Lonchura striata: one gene and its partner. The protein of the gene in region 1 purifies or fractionates together with the protein of each later gene. This does not show direct contact. Links are inferred from orthologs where the notes say so. Each region holds a gene or a part of one and is shown in the gene's direction. Other genes may lie near its edges. The genes, in order: LUZP1 and DAPK3.

Region 1 (11,111 bases):
ATTTTCTGCTGGCTGCCTTTTTTTGTCATATCCCTAGTCCTACCAATCTGCCAAGATGCCTGTTGGTTTCATCCCATCCTACTGGACTTTTTTACCTGGTTGGGTTATCTAAACTCATTAATAAATCCAGTCATTTATACAGCTTTTAATGAAGAATTTAAACAGGCTTTCCAAAAACTAATAATTTTCAAAAAGTGTTCCTCTTGAGACTCTCCTCCTGTGTAACTGACCCTTGTGCAATCTCACAGACTACCCAAAACTTTCCATGCTTTTATTCCTAAGGAACAGAGTGTAATTGCCATTTCTGCTTCTACTCTGTTCTGTGCATGTAACTGGGAATTTCTTGCCAATTTGATACTTTCTGTCTGGGATTGTACATGCCACAACAGAAGTTGTCCATGGTCTCTGCAGTGATCATGTCTGTATATAAGATCAACAACACATGAAATAAGCTTTACAATGAGGCAAGGTGTGTGAACCAGGGAGTTTGTCTTGTGTGATGAGGTAACACATTATCCAATTCTACCACACTTTCTAACCTGAAAGGAAGAAATTGTGTGTGTATTTACAAGACATTAGTATTTCTGCTGTACATTATTAACCATTTATGTCGGCTGAGAAAGTTTCTGGAGAGCAGGATCTGATACTTGTATTTTCTATGGCCTGTATCTTACCCATGTGAAGCTGATAAAACCTGTAACTCTTGCAGATGTGTGACATGGCCTGACTATAATCAGCAGCAGGGCAGAGCAGCATAGCACAGACGTAAGTTATATGGATATTTAAGAAATGCTGCATTTGAATCTATGCTTTTGGTGAAGTGTAGAAAGGAAACAGTTTAGTTGAATTTATTATTACATATTTTATCATGAATAGAACAGCCAGTGAAGAAATGCTACAAAATAAATAGCATGAAAATTATTGATCTTATATTTCTGTCATTCTGGTTTTTTGAATGCATAAACTGAAATAGGAGAATATGGTTAGTGCCAGTGTGGAATGACTAGGACCTCATAAAATAGCTGTAAATTTCGCTCCTTGGTGATAAGATATGGGAAGTTAGAGAGGGGAGAATGAAGTGACACACCAAGGAAAACTTTCTTAGTAATTAGGTTGTTGGGGTGGATCTGGCATCCCTGTCTCTGGAATTCTTTAAGTACTGGTCAGACAAACTGTGCTCAGGAGTCACTGTCAGGACCCTCTGCTGGGGTCACAGAGCAGGTCCTGTCCAACATGCACTTCTCTGCCTCTGGGATTCCTTCCCTGGTTTGGCAGGTGGGAAGCTGGCACATGGAGGTCTTGGATGAAGTCTCAGACAAGACAGCACACCAAGTGGTGCAGCCCAAATGTCATGCAACGTTTTAGTCTCTGGGCATTTTACATCAGAATTGTCATGTCTATGCTGAATATGAAAGCCACACAAAGCCAGCATCCTTCTGACTGCCCTTCCATCTCTCAGCCTGCCCCAGTTCATCTCCACTGTCCACTGCTGTGGCCATCCCAACACACTCCACCACAGCTTGTCCACCACAGCTTTCAACCTTTCCTTTGCATTTGTAGCACAGCTTTGCTGCTTCTCCCTGTTACTGGTGCCTCTGCTGAGGATGGACCATAAAGTGATGCCCCATCACTATTGTAAATGCAGGCGAACCCAATGGGAAGAAATTATGATGTCTGACTCAATTCAGAAGGCTGAATTATTTCTTTATTATAACTATGCTAAAATTCATTAATATACTATATTAAAAGGAAGATACTAAAACTACATACTACTTTCTCGAACTCTAACACAACTCGTGACCCTGTCTCTGTCCAGCCCCAGGTGGGTTGGTTTGGCCATCAGGCTCAAACAATCCTCACCAGAATCCAACCAAGCACTCCAGGTAAACAATTCTCCAAGCACATTCCACATTGGAAAAACAAGAAGCAGAAATAGAAATGGTTTTCTCTTTCATTTCTCTCTGTGCACTTCTATGAAAAATCCTGAGAGGGAGAGAAATGTGCTGCCACACCAGGACCACCCACATGCTGCAGAGTCAGACAGAGCAGTTGTGTGGTCACAGTAGGGCAGTCCTCTCTCACAGAAAGCATTTAAGGCTGCTTTGTTTGGGACATGGCTCCTTTACCCTCCCAAAAGGGCACTGATCTAGCTCTATCAAGCTTAAGAGATTTGGGTGGTGCCACCACATGGCCGTGTCCACACAGTGTCCTCTCAAAGCGTGTCCACAGTGGCCACTGCCAGTGCAGGTTCTCCCTGGCTCACTCCTGAGCTGTGCTGCTGCATTGCCTGGGGACACGTGAGCTGACACAGGCCACAGCCCCCAGGGGACAGCTTGAACCATAAACCAGTGTGGGCAACTGAACTCCCACACCTGAGGCCAGTCCCTGTACTGCTCAATTTGCTGTTATAGCAGCAGTCAACGTTTCATCCTCCTCTGATGATGACAGCTGAAATGTTCACCTTTGGGCCAGTTTGTGATGACTTCCACGGTCTCTGAGTGATTCACCTGCTCAGTGTGAAACATAAAATTACAGATCATGGTCCTAGAAGGGCCTTTGAGAGGCTGGCTAGTCCATTCCCTGCCTGTATCAACTATGCTGTTGTTCTCTTCCTGTATTTCCTACTCTAGAAGATTTCCGATTATGAAGAGAATGGTAAAATACAGCATAGGAAGGTGATCCACCACTCTTCTTTGACACTGTTTAATTCAAGAGTAAACAAAGTAGGCCCTTTCTTTGGTTAGGTTATAGATTAATTTTAAAATGGACATGGTCTAATATTACACCATTCTTATTGTTAGTAAATATTTGATAGCATGCCTCAGTAATTTATATTGGAAAAAACAGTGATATGGAACTGGCAGATGAAAACACTTGCTAGAGATGATCATAAATTAAATAACACTCACAGCCTCTGAGTTGAAAGGAGGCCCTCATGTCACGGAGATCAATGTCCGTATTTACCATGTTTTACAACACTGTGAATTGCAGTCTAGAGCACACAAATGTATTTCACAGAAGGTACAGGAGGGCTGAGTGATATCTCAGTGCCTCTCCAGTGAAGCTCTAGCAATATTGAGCACAAAGGTAAGTTAAAACATGTTATGTTTGTATAAAAGTACATATTGATATGTCCAAGAAGATAGTTGTTTCAATGATATTGTAACATTTATTGAAAATAGAAGAAATAGCTAAATATATGTCAAAGTATGTGTGTTCACTGCAGCACCCTGCATTTAAATTCCAGTGCAGGTTATTCCTACAACCAGGGAAGAGGATGAATGTCAGCAATGTGGAGTTACCATGACAGAAGACTGGCAGGACAATGAACATGGAACATGATCACTCCTCCCAGGACAAACCTGAACCTTGCTACGTGAAAGAAATATGGTCATTGAAAGCCTGAGGGTTGAAGAAATCCCACCATGCCCACCAACTGGAAAACAGCTCCTTGTCAGTACAAAGGAACAAATGCAAAATAGGAACAAAATGCACAGAGGAACAAAAGAACAATATGTAAGACTACTTAAGTATATTGATGAACAGATCACATCTTCACAAACAAGCATGCCCAAAATTCCTCTTCCTGTTTTGTATACATAATGAGTCTATGATGTGATGGAAATGTTTTTGCAGAACAGGCTTTTTAACATGGTGTCAGAATGCTTTCATTGACAATTACGATCTTTTACGACTCTGATATTCTAACAAAAGGTATCTGTGAAGATGTGGTGCTTTGTATTTTCCTGTCTATTCCATAGCAGTTAATGATGGATAGACAATTTCAAATTTTGAACTACCATGGAAACTACTTGGTATCCTGCTTTTCTTTTTTGAGTTCACAACTCCCTCTGCAGTAAACCTTGCAAGTCCTTGAACAAACGTCAAGAGACACAGCTGTAGCTATGGTGCCAGTTTTGAAATTATATTGGCAAACACCCTTGGCATCCTTAAATGCACCCCTTCTGGCCCCATGTATAGACCTAAATTAGCTGACATTTTTAAGATGTCTGCTCCAGGAAGAGGTGAAACATCCCCTCATAATGCTTAATGACATTATTTACATTACCTATGCTGCAAGATTGAAATGAGACTTGTGCAGAAGAATCAGTGGTGGAGATGTCTGATGTATTCAGACAAACCCTACTCATAGTGTGTGTAAATCCTGTTTATGATTTCCAGCAATTGCCACTCCCCATCCTGGTGTTCTCCAGGTGTGTCAGGTTCTGGCTCCTTATGCAGCTGGTGAAGATGGATTTGAAAGCCCTTGGCTTGAGGAGATGGTGTTCCCAATGGACTGCACATGTTTTCTGACTGAGAGGAAGATAGCAGCAGGACAAACTAAAAAGACATCAACCCGTTTCCTATGTGCTGCAGCCTTCTCAGTGCTTTTGTTACCAAACCTTGATGTGGCTGCAGGCTTCTGTGGGGACTCATGGTGGCACCTAGCTGATTTGAGGAACAAGAAACAGTCATACACACAAAACCCCAAACCCAACAAAACTTACATTGCCATATAGACTGCTGATAATGATGTGAGACTAGCAAGCCATGCAGCACTTCTGTTCATACAAGCATGATTCTGTTTCTTTTTCCCTGCTTGCTGTGTTTAATACTGTTCCTAAACTCTGTGTGGCATCTAACACAACCAAGGCTCCAGCTCTGTCGGAGCCGTTAGAAATTAATTCAACAAACATCAGGATCTTATCATGAATCTGATCTTCTAAATACTTAAAACCCAAACACCTGGAATCAGGAGAATGTCCACTTCTAATTTGCAGAGAGAAGCAAGAACCACTGGCTTAGAAAACAGTGGGCTAATTCAACTCACTGTAGGTAGAGAAGTATTCACTCTGAGTTAGTTGTCTGCTTGTTTGATAAACAGAACAAATGCCAGAACTGGTGCAGAAGAAACAGCACATACAAGTAATTTTAGGAGGGACATTCAACTGCGTGTATCAGCAGCTGCAAGATCAACTCAGACACCTCACTTAAATTCACCATACAAGCAGAGGGAGTACAGAATAGCAATACCTGAAGAGTCAGTTCAGGGACCTCATGAACTGTAAGATGACTCAGGTAGACATTTTTAATAACCACTGAGAAATCTGCTCTCTGTAAGTTTGGCTAATCCCTTTTGAATCTCATGCCTCTGGTGTTCATGGCATCCTAGAGCCATCCACTTCTCACGTTATCAAGCTGTGCATAAGATGCATGAGTTACATTTATTTGTTTAAAGCTACTACACCCATATGGATCCTCTGTTGTCAGATACGCTGACAGCTTCTGCTGATTCCTCGTATAATTTGTGATTTTATTGTGTTTGTCATCTCTCCTTGCCCATCATCTCTGGTCACACCTGCCCACATTGCTTACACCCCACTCCCTCGGGACTATGCAGCCTTTCTATCAGTCATTGTGGGGACATCTGGGGAAAAAGTTTTCTACCAGTGGTGCTGGCACCCTGCTTTGGGTTTTGGAAATCCAGCACCCATCCTTCCAATCCAAGAGATAAGCATAGCAACCATGCCTCAGGCTTGGGTGAGTAAAATGCTCACTAAGGACTCAGAGACACTCAGCCTCTGTGCCACCAGATGCCAGCAGCACTGGCAGAGTGAACTGCTGCTCGAGGGAAAGCACAAGGTGTGAGGTAAATCCTGACCCACCCAGCATGAGTGATGGAGGGAGGTGACAGCTAACAAAATGAGCTGAGCTGATAAAGGAGGAGGAGAAAGAAGCCCCTCACCAAAGTGGCAACTGAACCAGCTGCCACGTGGGGTCTGTAGAATGAGGAAGAGAGTGAATAGAAACCAAATAAATGATAAATGTCAAATCTCTGGACCCAAGTGAGAGACAACCTGCCTGCTCTGTGTCCTGCAGAAGCTGCATGGCCGCAGCTGGTGGTACAGTGCCCGTGGCAACAAGGGTTGCCACTACCCAGGCTGGTGTTTCAAAGAAAAAAAGCTTAGTAGTGTGAGGTTAGACACTCAGAAATTTCTGTCCCGGGAAAGGAAATGATGTAGAGGAAAACTAAGGAAGCTCTGGCTGCTCTAAGATAAAGCAATATTTTTCTTTAATAATTATGGGGACTTAGTGCAGTCAGAGGAAGCTGCAGACAAAAGTACAGAAAGGGACAAGTGGAATGAGGGATGTTACAAGGTGAGGAGGCAGCTCCCCTTTTCCCCACTGTCCCCACAATGGTCAGTAGGTTCCGAGCCTGTCACGTCTCGCTGCCTGGCCGGGAGGCTGCAATTGCTCACCGGCCTCTGACACGTCTGCTGCGGACTCAGCTGGGCATGATGCTGTACAGAGCACCGGGCACGCTCCCGGTGTCCTTCGCCGCGCCACCCGCCCGGTCAGCTCCCGGGCTCGGCTCACCGCTCAGCCGCACCGGGAGCAGCTTTTCCCGGTTAGTGCTGGCGGAGGTCTCTTGTCCCTGATCCCATGTCGGCATCCCCGGCTGCAGGTACCAGAGGTGGAACCAACCGCAGCTGGGCTGACCACCAAGTCCAAAGTGTCCAAGAGATGGCACTAACGGGGGGATGCGGCGGGAGAGGAGGACAAAACCTCGCTGTGCCACCTGGCGCGGGGCTCCGCCCTGCTCCCAAAGAGCCGGGACCGGCACCGCCCGCCCCGACACCAAATCCCCGAGCCAGCGGCAGCCCTGGCCGCGTCCGCAGAAGGGGCTGTCCGGCAGGCTCCGGAGCACGAACCCTCCGAGAGCAGCGCCACCAAGCCCGCCCAGCTCCGCGCCGGGGCCTGGCGGAAAGTTTCCCCTCCCTGCCCCGAGCGCCCTCGGCCCCCCCAAAATGGCGGCGGGGCCCGCCCGCCTCTCAGGGCCGGGGGCGGGCGCCGCGGAGCTGCGGCGGCCGGGCCGGGCCGCAGCCCCCGCCCGCTGACGTCAAGCACCGCCCGGCCCCGCGGCCCTCCCCTCATTGTCAGCGCCCGCACCGCCGCCCGAGCCCCGGAGCCCCTCGCGGGCTGCGGCTGCCCAAGCCCGGGCTGGGAGGGAGCGAAGCCCGGCCGCTCCTGCTGCCCAGGTAGGCAGAGGTGGGCGATGAAGGGGCGGAGGGCGGGGGGTGCGGCGGACCGGCGGGGCGGGGAGGAATTTGAGGCATCCGCTTTGTCTGTGACCGCCGCCGCCTTCCCCGTCCCTTCCCGTGCGGGCGAGCGGTGCCTCCAGGCCGGGTGGCCCGCGGCGGCGGCGGGGACCCCCGCGGGAGAGCCGGCCCTGGGGCGCCCGCCGGGGCCTCGGCTCCCGCTCGGAAATGGAGCCGCCGTCGGGCTCCTTCCGACAGGACCGGAACAGCCGCTTTCCTGAGCGGAGATCGGCCCCGTCCCCGCCCGGGAAGGGCACGGTCCCACCGCTCCTCGCTGTAGCGAGCTGCCCGCAGGGAAGTTCCTAAACCCGTTGGCTGGGGCTTAGTTGAGATTTTGGAGGTTTCCAGGCACTTAACGCGTTTTCTGTGAATAACCTTTTTTTTTTTTTTCCTTGCTGCAGCCACATACTCCCTTTCCTGTTGCTTATTTTTCCTGAATTCCCCCTTCTTTCCCAGCCCGCCCACGTTTAGCAAATAATTCATAACGTTCTTTTATATACATGCTTTTCTGATGCTCTGACTTTGTTAATTACTTCAGTCTTCTTTGCTCCCCCGTCGTGAGGGAATTAATTGATGGAGCATTGTGAAACTTTTCTTTGCCTCTTTCAAAAATTTCTGAAACCTCCCTCGTTTGGCTTTGTCAGGTGTCCCATGTGCCGGCATGTGAAGCCAGTGGCACAGCAAACCTTTGCTTGTTGTCCTTGGTGATTGTGCTTTCATTGCAAATCTGTATTTTTCCCCCCTTGTAATGCTACATTTGAAGCCTTTAAACCAATTAAACACTAGTTAAAGTTACCATCCCAACTAATCAGCACTTTTGAGTTAGGTGCTGTGGGATTAAGTTTTAAGTGGTGCGTAAATTCTGTTAAAATGTTCCACAAAAATCGGGGGAAGGAGTGCTCATCACTGCCGCGTGTGCTGGGCTTGTTGCTTATCGAGTCTCTCGCCGAGAGCCGCTGGGGTGGGTGGGCGCCTCTCACCACAGTGATGACAGTGGGAAGGGGGAATTTTACAACCTGGAATCGTCTGTGGCATTCCGTGTTTAGAGGGAAAAAATGCAGTGACTTCCCACATGCCTACAGCCTCATGGCAGAGGTATGCGTCTGCTGACCTGCAGGACGGTGCGGGAGGCGTCGTTCCCAGTGTTACAGTCTGTGCGAGTACAGAACCAGCAGCTCTGTGCTCCGGTCAGTTTGTGCAGCCAGTAGCCAGCTGCCATATTTCGGCAGGGACAGCGTGCTCTGTGGCTGGTTTGCATCTGCGGCACACTTGCAGAAGTGTAATTCCTCCATTGTGGAGGAATTTCACTTGTGCAGGGACCTGGTGTGCAAGACACCTCCTGGGCATGGGACGCCTGGGGCTGCTCAGGGCACCCAGCCCTCTGTAGCACTGCAAGGAGGAGGAGGACGTGGAGAGCTGATTGCTGTGTTTCTTTTGGATATGCGTCTGAAAGTTCCTGGGGGAAGGAATGAGTTGGGGTAAAGGGAGTGTGGGAGAGCAGCACAATTCAAGAGTAATCAGGTCCCCATTAACTAGCCCCTGCATCTCCTGATCTAAGTAGTTCTTCAACCTCAGGTTCCTCATATTGCTATGAAATAGTAACGTTTCTGCACTCCAGTACAGGTGAGTCTGAACAATGCTGACTTCCTAAGAAGTAGGAATAAGTTACAAGAGCACAGACATTTCTCTAGTCTTCTGGCTGTGTTCTGAAAATTGCCCAGCTTAGAGTAAGTTGATGATTTTCTTTATTTTATACGAGGCTAGGAACTGTAGGCAAAAAATAACTTGTGTTAAAAAAGAGAACTCTCAAATGTGGCTGTTACAAGAAATTATAATATTTAAAAACCCAGTATGCCTTGCAGTCTAGTCCACATTATTTTCTATGTTCAAATGGATTGGTGATTACAACTTTGAGCATGATGTTAGCAGAGTATTGTAGCCAGGGACTCTAAAGGCTGTGCATGTCCTCCATGAAACATTTCCTTCCCACTGTGGGCTGCAGTTGGTGAGGAACCAGAGGTCTCTTTCTTGATGGGAGTTTTTCAGAAAGTATGGCTGGCATTACTGAGCAAAATGACAAAGAAGGACAATTTTGATACAATTGTTACACTAAAATGAAGCATAAAATCTCTTTAGGAGGTTGTTTTTATTGGAAGATTCCCACGAGGGTGATGATTTGCTGCAGTAATACGTTTTACACTAACTAGTGGATTGCAGATCATGGGAGCCCTTAAAACATGTTGGAATGGAGAACCTTTGTTGTGATGATTATGGCATGGTTACATACATCCTCACACGTCTAAGGCCTGCTGTACAGACTTTTTGCCTTGGGTAATGCTTGTATTCACACACATGAAGTAGAAAGCATGAAAGTTTTCCAGTACTTGGTGACAGCTGATGAGCAGGTGTTGCTTGCCAGCACTTCTTGCATTCCTAAAGCTGGTGGTTGGCTTTGTCCTTCCATACTGTTATTCTTCTCTCTGCTTTCAATGGGCTGAGTCTTTGGAAGGCTTTAGTCTTTTAACTTGATCTCTTCTTCTCTCTGTAGCCACCAAAGGTATGATTATTCTCCCTGTCCAATCTCATCTGTTTGCCAGGGTAACACAGGCTGTGGCAGCCTTCTCCTGGTGGTGACTGCAGCCACTCACTGCACACACTGTTGATAGTTACATCCCTCTGGATTTGAGGTTTGGGGCTGGTGACAGAATCAGTTTGGTAGAAAACCCACAAACCATTTGCCCTTAACTGTCCAGATTTAGGAGCCTTCCTAACCACCATGACTGAGAAGGCATGCCAGGCATGCCATTCCTGTGAAGTTGGTGGGGTTTGGGTTGATTCAGCAGCCTGAAAACCAGTGTTTTTGAAATGATCAGATATAAAGTGTGGCATTGGATGTCAGCCATAAGAATGTGGCCTTAATGCTTTTGTGTCTGTGGTGGTGTCTTAGGTTTTGGCAATGATGTTCCCCTGCTGGGGCCCTAATCTGGGCAGATAAGGGGTTGTAAGGATACCTCAGCCCTGTGTGCTTTAACCCTCACCAGGGTGGAGTAAAATATGCAGGTGCAACACACAGCTTTACCTGAGCGTGACAGCAGCATGCACAGAAGCATGTGAAAGCTGTGCACAGGCAGTTTCTATTTCCTTTTCTATAAAAGAAAGCTGAGAATATTTTGGTGCTTTGTTGCAATAGTTGTGCAGCAAATGTAACATTTGTGTTCCAAACGTTTTAATTTCACATAGAAACACAGTACAGAAAGGTGAATGCACCCTGCGAGTGATGGGCTGAAAGGAGAAGGGGGTGTTTAGAAAAAAAAGAGTTTTAATGTTGTACTTGGCACTTAGCCTGCTCTGCAGCCTTGTCTCTTCTTGTAGTAAAGCCCCCTTAGGATCCAGCCCAGTAACCCCAGGAATTAAATGTATCACTTCCTTGCTTAGGAACAAGGTTGCCAACACACAGGTATAATGTATAAGAACACATAAGATGGTAAGTTTATTTCTGTGTGGCAGTGGGTGGATGAGAGTGTCTGCTTGCTTTTATCAAGTTGGAGGAGAGATAGATTTTCACATCCTCTTCAGTCATGGATCTGGGAAGTGCTACATCAGTGCAGGTGGGCACTGTGCCTGGAGGAGGTGGGTTTGCCTTTCCCCTTGTCCTAACCACTTTCTCCTCCAAATGCCCTGTCTAGCCCTACCCAAGCTGACAAAAACTTCATGCAGTTGTGTTCAGAGAGTTGATCTGGTGAAAATTAACCATCAGCCTCCCCCCACTCCCTTTAACCCTGCCCAATTCCCAGCCTGGCTGCGGGGCTGCTTTACTCTGGCCAAGGGAGGGGAGCATGAGGCTAGAAGGAGGCAGGCACAGTACAGGGCCACCTGAAAATTACTATAAAACTTAAGTTTGAGGATCTGGCCAAAAGTCTGTGAGGTCACTTTTGCAGTAATAGCATCCCTTGAGCATCTCAGCATTGTTGTCTGCCTTGAGGTCTCTGTCACCACCATGCTTTCACAGTG
Region 2 (10,607 bases), on another chromosome or scaffold:
AGCAGCTGAGCAGTGCTGCTCCAGCTGTGTCAACATCAACTTGCTTGGGAGGTGGGGAAGGACGGGGAGGTGAACCCCTGTTGTGAACACTCTGACTGGGTCCTGCTGCTCTGCCCAGGCTGTGATGAGGCGGTGGCTGCCAGCTGGAGATGCCCTGCTGCAGATGATCACCATCCACCTGCCTTCCCCCGTCACAGCCCAGAAGTATCGCTGCGAGCTGCTCTACGAGGGCCCCCCTGACGATGAGGCTGCCATAGGTAGGATGAAGGATGAGCTGCTCTGCTGCCCGGCCTCGGCTCCAGCATGCCTGTAACCAGTTTGTTCTCCACGTGCACAGCTCAGGAGTGTCTGGAATTGAGTCTGTAGCTTTTCCAGCATGGATCAAACAGTTTTAGTGGCTCACAGCTCTGTTCTGGAGCACTCAGCTGGCTGAGTAATCTCAGAGTAGCCAGAGGGTCCATCTGAACCTCTGTTAAAAACATTTGTTGGTGATAAGATCTTCCATGGAATCTCAGAATAGATTGGTTTGGAAGAGATCTTGAAGGTCAGCCCCATCTCCTGACCAGGCAGGGACATCTTCCACTGCCCCAGGCTTCTCCAAGCCCCATCCAACCTGGCCTTGGGCCCTGCCAGGGATCCAGGAGCTGCCACAGCTGCTCTGGGCACCCTGTGTGTTCTCCCAGGGAACAATCCCTTCCCAATATCCCATCCATCCCTGCCCTCTGGCAGTGGGAGCCATTCTCCGTTTTCTCTAGCCCAGACAGAAGCCCTTGGGCTGGGACAGTGGGTGCAGGTCTTGAGTTGGGGTTTTGGGGTGGGTGCCAGATACATCGATACCTCTGTGCTAAGCTGGTCTGTCCCCCTCCCAGGCATTAAGAACTGTGACCCCAAAGGCCCCCTGATGATGTACATCTCCAAAATGGTGCCAACCTCTGACAAGGGACGTTTCTACGCTTTTGGCCGTGTCTTCTCTGGTCTCGTCTCTACTGGCTTGAAAGTCAGAATCATGGGACCAAACTACACACCTGGCAAGAAGGAGGATCTGTACCTGAAGCCAATTCAAAGGTGTGTCCTGGCTGGGCTGTCGAGGGATTCTGATGCTGTCTCAGGTCTCTTCTCATGTCTGAGGCTTGTCAAGGTTCTTGGCTGTGGGCTGAGTGGGGTCTCCTCCCCTTCCCAGCCTCACTAATCCACCTTTCCCTTTAGGACCATTCTCATGATGGGCCGCTACGTGGAGCCCATCGAGGACGTGCCTTGCGGGAACATCGTGGGGCTGGTCGGCGTGGACCAGTTCCTTGTGAAGACTGGAACCATCACCACCTTCGAGCACGCCCACAACATGAGGGTCATGAAGTTCAGCGTCAGCCCCGTGGTGCGCGTGGCCGTGGAGGCCAAGAACCCGGCCGACCTGCCCAAGCTGGTGGAGGGGCTGAAGCGCCTGGCCAAGTCTGACCCCATGGTGCAGGTGAGTGGCCAGAATGGATCCAGGGGTGCTGCTTCCATCCTGGGGAAGCCTTGAGTTGAGTGTTGGTCCCTGCCTTGCACCCTGGCTTGGTGCTGCGACACCCCCAGATGAGTGGGGAGAACATCCAGAAGTAGCTGCCTCAGGATCCTCCAGTGCTGCCTCAGCTGTGCTCGCCCCACACCATGGCTCCTCGGGCATTTGGGCAGCAAAAGCATTTTGGGTCACTTAAATGTTGTTTTTTTTTTTTCAAACACAAAAAACACAGAGGGGATGAGTGGGGAGAACATGTAGAAGTAGCTGCCTTGGGATCCTCCAGCGCTACCTTGGCCATGCCCGCCCCACACCGTGGCTCCTCCTCGGGCATTTGGGCAGCAAAAGTGTTTTGGGTCACTTAAGTGGTTTTTTTTTTTTTTTTCAAACAAAAAACACAGAGGGGATGAGTGGGGGGAACATGTAGAAGTAGCTCTTTGGGTCAAGCACTAAAAACACAGAAAGTTGCTTGTGCATGTGGCTCGTTCTGAAGCTTCACCTGCTGTTCCTGGTGTTCCCAGTGCATCATTGAGGAGTCTGGGGAGCACATCATCGCTGGCGCTGGGGAGCTGCACCTGGAGATCTGCCTGAAGGACCTGGAGGAGGACCACGCCTGCATCCCCATTAAGGTAGAGAGGAGGCTGCGTGCTGGCTGAGCTCGTGGTGGGGGTTTGGCCGCTTTGGTGCCTCACGCCGCGCTCTGTCCCCGCAGAAATCCGACCCCGTGGTGTCCTACCGCGAGACGGTCAGCGAGGAGTCCAGCGTGATGTGCCTTTCCAAGTCCCCCAACAAACACAACCGGCTGTACATGAAGGCCCGGCCCTTCCCCGAGGGCCTGGCCGAGGACATCGACAAGGGCGAGGTGTCGGCCCGGCAGGAGCTGAAGCAGCGGGCGCGGTACCTGGCCGAGAAGTACGAGTGGGACGTCACCGAGGCCAGGAAGATCTGGTGCTTCGGGCCCGACGGCACCGGCCCCAACATCCTCACCGACATCACCAAGGGGGTGCAGTACCTCAACGAGATCAAGGACAGCGTGGTGGCCGGCTTCCAGTGGGCCACCAAGGAGGTGAGGGACGGCGGCTTGGGCTGGGTGGCATCCGTGGTTCCTCACATCTGTGCTTTTGTTATGCTTATCGTGGAGCAAAATGGAACATCTTAGCAGTTCAGGGAATAACGGCAGGAGGGAAAGTGGTCTGAGGGCCTCGACAGGGATTATTTTCAGGATTAGACAGGAGAGGACTGTAGGGTAAGATGACAGACTGGGAACAGCAAGAGGAGGAATTCATTTTCCTGTGTACCACCTAGTTTCAGTCTGAAGGTGATTCCAAGCCAACAACTTCTGTGACATTACCAAGACAAAAAAATCCCCATTTCCCTTGGCCAAATACTTGGGTTTCAGCACCATAAACGTGTGACAGCTGTTGAGGCTTGAACCTCAGAGCTGATCACGAGGCTGCCGCAGTGGTGGCACAGGGGTTGCGAGCTGGTGCTCCACAGAACCCTTAGGTTGGGAAAGACCTAGAGTCCAGCCTTTGTAGGTTTGGAGGCTCATCCTTCAGCAAGGAGGTCGAGTGGCTCCTGGGTGGGAGCTGCTTCCACAGAGCTCCTCCTGGGAGCCAGGCGAGCAGCACCCCATCAGGGGCCACGGAGTGACCCCGCTGTGCCCTGGCAGGGGGTGCTGTGCGAGGAGAACATGCGCGCCGTGCGTTTCGACGTGCACGACGTGACCCTGCACGCCGACGCCATCCACCGCGGCGGCGGCCAGATCATCCCCACGGCCCGGCGCTGCCTCTACGCCTGCGTGCTCACCGCCCAGCCGCGCCTCATGGAGCCCATCTACCTGGTGGAGATCCAGGTGAGTGACCTTCCCCACCCTCACACAGCCCCCAAAATATCCTAGGCTAGCTCGGAGGTAAGCAGGCTGTGAGGGGAGGAATATCAGGAGATGGCAAAGATTTCCAAAAGAGGCTCTTACCCCAAAATATGTTGGTTCAGCTCTCTTTATTCTGTGATGTCCATGTGGAGAGCGGGGCAAAAGAGCACAAAAAGGAAATGTCAGGGGTCTATACAGACTTTGGGCAGGGTGGGCTTCCCTGGCTCTCTGCCAACCCTGTCAGGGCAGGAAGGAGGGTCCAGGGTTATCTGATCAGAGTCCCAGGGAAGGGGGCACAGTGTGCCCATGAGCTCACTGTGACAGGTGAGGAGCCCCTGCCAGCCCCAGGGGAAGGGGGGACGGCGGGTGGGCGCAGTCCTGACTCCAGTCTCTCCTGCAGTGCCCGGAGCAGGTGGTGGGAGGCATCTACAGCGTGCTGAACAAGAAGCGTGGCCACGTGTTTGAGGAGGCCCAGGTGGCTGGGACCCCCATGTTCGTGGTCAAGGCCTACCTGCCTGTCAACGAGTCCTTCGGTGAGTCCTGGAGCCCTCCTGGCAGGGAGAGCCTTGGCGAGGACCTCAAGGGATCCTCGGGTTGAGTTGTTCACCCAGCACTGTGACACTGAACCATGTCCCCAAGTGCCACATCCACACTTCAGAGGCTTTGAAAGCCCTCCAGGGAGGAGGGGGACTCCAGCACTGCCCTGAGCAGCTGTGCCAGTGCTTGACCATCCTTCTGGAGAATAAACTTGCCTAGAAATCTCCAGCCCTCCCTTGCTACAGCTTAGGGGTGTTTCTTCTCACTTGTTGCCTGGAAGAGACCAAAGTTGCAGAACATTTTGGGTTGGAAGTCAGGGTCTTCCAGTGCTGCCTCTGCCATGGCAGGGACACTTGCCACTGTCCCAGGCTGCTCCAGCCTGACCTTGGGCACTTCCAGGGATCCAGGGGCAGCCACAGCTGCTCTGGGAATTCCATCCCAGCCCTTCCCCACCCTCCCAGGGCAGAATTCCTTCTCAGTATCCCACCGGGCAGCGGGAAGCCATTCCCTGTCCTGTCCTTCCATATGTTTGTCCAAAGTCTCCCTCCAGTTCTAGGCACTGGAAGGATTTCTTAAGTTCTTCCTGGAGCCTTTTTTCCATCCCCACCTCACATTGGTTGGGATCTCAGGAGGCTTTTGAGAGCTGCTCTGGGTTCCTCTGCTCTAACCACGGAAACAACATTGAACCATGACCACTCCTGTCCTGCCTCACTTTTTGTCTCGTCCCTCGCAGGTTTCACAGCAGATTTGAGGTCCAACACAGGGGGCCAGGCCTTCCCCCAGTGCGTCTTCGACCACTGGCAGATCCTGTCCGGGGACCCCTTCGACAGCACCAGCAAGCCGTGCCAGGTGGTGGCCGAGACCCGCAAACGCAAAGGGCTGAAGGAAGGAATCCCTGCCCTCGACAACTTCCTGGACAAACTCTAATGAGACTCATGGAACTCTGGGAGAGCAGGAAAAATTTAATTAATTAGCGTTATCACCCATGCCGCCAGGGGTAGACGCCCTTGACCACCATCTTGTTAATTAAATGGGTTTCATAGCAATTTTGAGAACTTCAAATGAGGAAAACAAACAAAAAAAAAGCCTTATAGGTTTCTGTGTTGCACATGACTCATCTTTGCCATTGTAACTAAAACATTTCCACTAGATCTGCCCAATTCTGTATTTATTTGATTCAAAAAAAAAAAAAAATACTGCTGCAGAAGGGCCTGGAAGGAAGTGGGGCGTGCTTCAAGAGGTCAAGAAAAATGGGGGGGAAAGAGAGACAGGGTGAGGATGCCTTATCTGCAGCGTGACTGTCCGTCGTGCCCATCGCCGCCTGTATTAGTGCCACTGGAATTAATAAAATTGGATAAATGGTGACGAAAAATGGAATTTTTGGGGGTGATTCTAAGGGCGAGAGTGGCGCCCTCTGGTGGGGGCGAAGGGGTGGTGCCGCCATTGGCCCCGCCCACCTGGGGCGGGGCTTGGACATGGATGGTGCGGAGTGGGCGGGGTTTGCGAGAAGTGGGCGGGGTTTCATGGAGGGGCGTGGTTTGCGTAAATGTGGGCGGGGCTTTCATGGAGGGGCGTGGTTTGTGTGGATGTGGGCGGGGTTTCATGGAGGGGCGTGGTTTGTGTGGATGTGGACGGGGTTTCATGGAGGGGCGTGGTTTGTGTGGATGTGGGCGGGGTTTCATGGAGGGGCGTGGTTTTCGCGGGGTGGGCGGGGCCTGCTGTGGTGGAATGTGGCGGCGGCGGCGGCGGCCCAGGTTGGGAAGGGGCCGGTGGCCGTGAGGGGCCGTGAGGGGAGATGTGGGGCCGGGCGGGGAGGTGCGGGGCTCTGCGGGTCCCGGAGGGGTGAGGGAGTGCGGCTGGCTGCGCTGGGGAGGGAGCGATGGCGCGGGGAGGGGTGTGTGGGGGATGAGGCCTGTGGGGCGGGGTGGGGAAGGGAGGGATGGGGGCGGCTGTGGGGAGGGATTGGGAGCAGAGTGGGTGGGGGGTTTGGGGGGATTTTGGGGTGGGGAGGGATTGGGAGCAGAGTGGGTGTGGGGTTTGGGGGGATTTTGGGGTGGGGAGGGATTGGGAGCAGAGTGGGTGTGGGGTTTGGGGGGATTTTGGGGTGGGGAGGGATTGGGAGCAGAGTGGGTGGGGGGTTTGGGGGGATTTTGGGGTGGGGAGGGATTGGGAGCAGAGTGGGTGTGGGGTTTGGGGGGATTTTGGGGTGGGGAGGGATTGGGAGCAGAGTGGGTGTGGGGTTTGGGGGGATTTTGGGGTGGGGAGGGATTGGGAGCAGAGTGGGTGTGGGGTTTGGGGGGATTTTGGGGTGGGGAGGGATTGGGAGCAGAGTGGGTGTGGGGTTTGGGGGGATTTTGGGGTGGGGAGGGATTGGGAGCAGAGTGGGTGGGGGGTTTGGGGGGATTTTGGGGTGGGGAGGGATTGGGAGCAGAGTGGGTGGGGGGTTTGGGGGGATTTTGGGGTGGGGAGGGATTGGGAGCAGAGTGGGTGGGGGGTTTGGGGGGATTTTGGGGTGGGGAGGGATTGGGAGCAGAGTGGGTGTGGGGTTTGGGGAGATTTTGGGGTGGGGAGGGATTGGGATTTGTGGGGCCTGTGGGATCGGGATTGGGAGGAGCCGTGGGGCTGGGAAAGGAGGGGGAGGGATTGGGGTGGGGGGATGTGGAGAAGGGAAGGGATGGGGAGGGACTGGGGGTGTGAGAGGGATTGGGGTGGGGAGGGGCTGTGAGGCAGGAAAGGGATGGGGAGGGATTTGGAGGAGAGTGGGTGTGGGGTTTGGGGGGTTTTGGGGGTGGGCTGTGGGGCAGGGAAAGGCTGTGGCCCCCTTCCTTTCCCTTCCCTTCCCTTCCCTTCCCTTCCCTTCCCTTCCCTTCCCTTCCCTTCCCTTCCCTTCCCTTCCCTTCCCTTCCCTTCCCTTCCCTTCCCTTCCCTGTCCCCTGAGTTTTGGGATGTGGTGAGACCGGGGCACATCCCCGGGACTCGGGGTGCTTGTGCTGGGAGCTGCTGTGAGCCGCGGGGACACAGCCCCCCTTTTTCCCGGTGCTGCTGTGAGCCCCGGGGACACAGCCCCCCTTTTTCCCGGTGCTGCTGTGAGCTCCGGGGACACAGCCCCCCTTTTTCCCGGTGTTGCTGTGAGCCCCGGGGACACAGCCCCCCTTTTTCCCGGTGTTGCTGTGAGCCCCGGGGACACAGCCCCCCTTTTTCCCGGTGCTGCTGTGAGCCCCGGGGGCACAGCCCCCCTTTTTCCCGGTGCTGCTGTGAGCCCCGGGGACACAGCCCCCCTTTTTCCCGGTGCTGCTGTGAGCCCCGGGGACACAGCCCCCCTTTTTCCCGGTGCTGCTGTGAGCCCCGGGGACACAGCCCCCCTTTTTCCCGGTGCTGCTGTGAGCTCCGAGGACACAGCCCCCCTTTTTCCCCCTGCCACAGGCGCTGATCCCCCCGGCTGCTCCCCGCTCCTGACGCCCGGCGCCGGCTGCAGAGGGCCCCGCAGCCATGTCCACCTTCCGCCAGGAGAGCGTGGAGGACTTCTATGAGATGGGCGAGGAGCTGGGCAGGTGAGGGACATCCCGCTGCCTTCGGGGGGCTCCCACGGCTGCCGGGAGCTCGGCTGGATCCGGCTGTGGATCCCTGCGGGGTCCCTGTGCCCCCTCCGCAGGCAGCAGAGCTGGGGCTGTGCAGAGCCAGGCAGCTCTAGCCGATAGAGATTAACAAAAAAAGCGTTAATTAACGCTGCTGCCGTCCGGGGCTGGCGGCTTCCGGCCTTCCTCGGTGCCTGAGCTGGCCCGGCGCCTGTGGGAGGGATCCAGGGTGACTCAGAGCCCGCAGATGGGATTTAATCAGCCGGGACGCAGGGGCGGCGGTGGGGGAGCTGCCTCGTCTGTGCCCGCCCCACGCCGTGGCTCCTCCTCGGCCGTTTGGGCAGCAAAACCGTTTTGGATCACTTAGGTGGGGTTATTTTTCAAAGCAGAGGAACTTGCAGGAGTTGCTCCTTTAAATAGGATATTAATGTATTATAGTATAGTTATAATAAAAAAATCGTTCAGCCTTCTGCAGTCAGACATTGTCATTTCTGCCATCTGGGTTCAGCTGCACTTACAATACTCCTCTAATCTTCCTCTTCCTCTTCCTCTTCCTCTTCCTCTTCCTCTTCCTCTTCCCTTTCCCCTTCCCCTTTGTCTTCCCCTTTGTCTTCCCCTTCCTCTTCTTCTCCCTCTTCTCTTCCTCTTCTTCTCCTCTCTTCTCCTCTCTTCTCCTCCTCCTCCTCTTCCTCCTCCTCTTCCTCCTCCTCGTCTTCGTCTTCCTCTTCCTCTTCCTCTTCCTCTTCCTCTTCCTCTTCCTCTTCCTCCTCCTCCTCCTCCTCCTCCTCCTCCTCCTCCTCCTCCTCCTCGTCTTCCTCCTCTTCCTCTTCCTTGTCCTCGTCCTCGTCCTCTTCCTCTTTTCCTCTCCTCTCCTCCTCCTCGTCTTCCTCCTCTTCCTCTTCCCCTCTTCCCCTTCCCCTCTTCCTCTCCCCTCTTCCTCCTCTCCTCTCCTCTCCTCTCCTCTCCTCTCCTCTCCTCTCCTCTCCTCTCCTCTCCTCTCCTCTCCTCTCCTCTCCTCTCCTCTCCTCTCCTCTCCTCTCCTCTCCTCTCCTCTCCTCTCCTCTCCTCTCCTCTCCTCTCCTCTCCTCTCCTCTCCTCTCCTCTCCTCTCCTCTCCTCTCCTCTCCTCTCCTCTCCTCTCCTCTCCTCTCCTCTCCTCTCCTCTCCTCTCCTCTCCTCCTCTCCTCTCCTCTCCTCTCCTCTCCTCTCCTCTCCTCTCCTCTCCTCTCCTCTCCTCTCTCTCCTCAGCGGGCAGTTTGCCATCGTCCGCAAGTGCCGGGAGAGGCAGACGGGCCTGGAGTACGCGGCCAAGTTCATCAAGAAGCGGCGGCTGTCGTCCAGCCGCCGGGGCGTGAGCCGCGAGGAGATCGAGCGCGAGGTGGACATCCTGCGCGAGATCCAGCACCCCAACATCATCACCCTGCATGACATCTTTGAGAACAAGACCGACGTGGTGCTCATCCTGGAGCTGGTGTCCGGCGGGGAGCTCTTCGACTTCCTGGCCGAGAAGGAGTCCCTGACTGAGGAGGAGGCCACCCAGTTCCTCAAGCAGATCCTGGACGGCGTGCACTACCTGCACTCCAAGCGCATCGCCCACTTCGACTTGAAGGTGGGCTCGGGGAGCTGCAGACACCTCTCTGGGAACAGGGATAGACTCCCAGGTGGGCTCTGGGAGCTGCAGATACCCTGTGTTCAGCTCTGGGAGCAGGGGTGAGCCCCCAGGTGGGCTCTGGGAGCTGCAGGCACACCACTGGAGCTGGGATGAGCCCCCAGGTGGCCTCGGGGAGCTGCAGACACCCTGTGTTCATCTCTGGGAGCAGGGGTCAACTCCCAGGTGGGCTCTGGGAGCTGCAGGCACCCCACTGGAGCAGGGATAAACTACCAGGTGGGCTCTGAGAGCAGGGATGAGCCCCCAGGTAGGCTCTGGGAGCTGCAGGCACACCACTGGAGCTGGGATGAGCCCCTAGGTGGGCTCTGGGAGCTGCAGACACTCCGTGTTCGGCTCTGGGAGCTGCAGACACCCCGTGTTCAGCTCTGGGAGCATGGATGAGCCCCCAGGTGGGCTCTGGGAGCTGCAGGCACCCCACTGGGAACAGGGATAGAGTCCCAGGTGGGCTCTGGGAGCTGCAGACACCCCGTGTTCAGCTCTGGGAGCATGGATGAGCCCCCAGATGGGCTCTGAGAGCTGCAGACACTCCGTGTTCAGCTCTGGGAGCATGGATGAGCCCCCAGATGGGCTCTGGAAGCCAGCACCGAGGAGTGGGGCTCAGTTCAGCACTCCTGCACTGCAGTGGGGCTGGTGCTTGGGATCTCTCCCAGCTCGAGGCACTCGCCCTCTGCCCTGGAATGAGGAGCCCAGGGCAGCTCCCCCAGGCTGGTGCAGGGACAGAGCCAGCTCCTCTCCCCCCACAGCCAGAGAACATCATGCTGCTGGACAAGAACGTGCCAAACCCTCGCATCAAACTCATCGACTTTGGGATCGCCCACAAGATCGAGGCTGGGAATGAGTTCAAGAATATCTTTGGGACCCCAGAGTTTGTAGGTGAGCATTGCTCAGTGTACTGAAAGCTTTGGATTAATCCTGGAGGGACACCCAGCACTCGGGTGCTGCTGCCAGGATGTGTCCATGGGGCCAGGCTTCCTTCCCCCACAATGAACTCATTTTCTCCCCTTTCCTCCCAAAGCCCCAGAAATTGTGAACTACGAGCCCCTGGGGCTGGAGGCCGACATGTGGTGAGTGATTCCCCCTCCTGAGCCCCTTCCCATGGCTCCAGCAGCCAGACCCTCATGCTGGTGGATCTCCCCTCGTGACTTCAGCCTCCTGTCCCTCTCTCTTCCAGGAGCATCGGGGTCATCACCTACATCCTGTGAGTATGAGGCAGCTCTGGGGGCTGAGGGCTGCAGGATGAGCCCCCCCACCTCGGGCTGGAGCCTTTTTGGGGTGTCCCAACCCACTCTCTCCTCAGGCTGAGCGGAGCCTCCCCGTTCCTGGGGGAGACCAAGCAGGAGACGCTGACCAACATCTCTGCTGTCAACTACGACTTCGATGAGGAATATTTCAGCAACACCAGCGAGCTGGCCAAGGACTTCATCCGCCGCCTGCTCGTCAAGGACCCCAAGTGAGGGAC

The links.
Region 2: the proteins of LUZP1 (region 1) and DAPK3 purify together in Homo sapiens (affinity purification with mass spectrometry; 3 studies listed by BioGRID and IntAct, with this or other methods). This does not show direct contact. The link is inferred for Lonchura striata from reciprocal best matches to the Homo sapiens genes LUZP1 and DAPK3.

Annotation. Positions count from the first base shown.
Region 1 is NC_134628.1:5,227,479-5,238,589, reverse strand, and holds the start of LUZP1 (leucine zipper protein 1), read left to right. Parts: upstream 1-6,912; 5' UTR 6,913-7,040; intron 7,041-11,111. Other genes in the region: HTR1D (5-hydroxytryptamine receptor 1D), read left to right, coding at 1-207.
Region 2 is NC_134630.1:6,838,373-6,848,979, forward strand, and holds the start of DAPK3 (death-associated protein kinase 3), read left to right. Parts: upstream 1-5,565; 5' UTR 5,566-5,659; intron 5,660-7,328; 5' UTR 7,329-7,394; coding exon 7,395-7,456; intron 7,457-8,727; coding exon 8,728-9,088; intron 9,089-9,891; coding exon 9,892-10,021; intron 10,022-10,163; coding exon 10,164-10,212; intron 10,213-10,319; coding exon 10,320-10,346; intron 10,347-10,445; coding exon 10,446-10,598; intron 10,599-10,607. Other genes in the region: EEF2 (elongation factor 2), read left to right, coding at 119-257, 870-1,065, 1,207-1,465, 2,017-2,124, 2,208-2,561, 3,168-3,350, 3,769-3,901, 4,639-4,832. UniProt on the Homo sapiens protein: Serine/threonine kinase which is involved in the regulation of apoptosis, autophagy, transcription, translation and actin cytoskeleton reorganization. Involved in the regulation of smooth muscle contraction.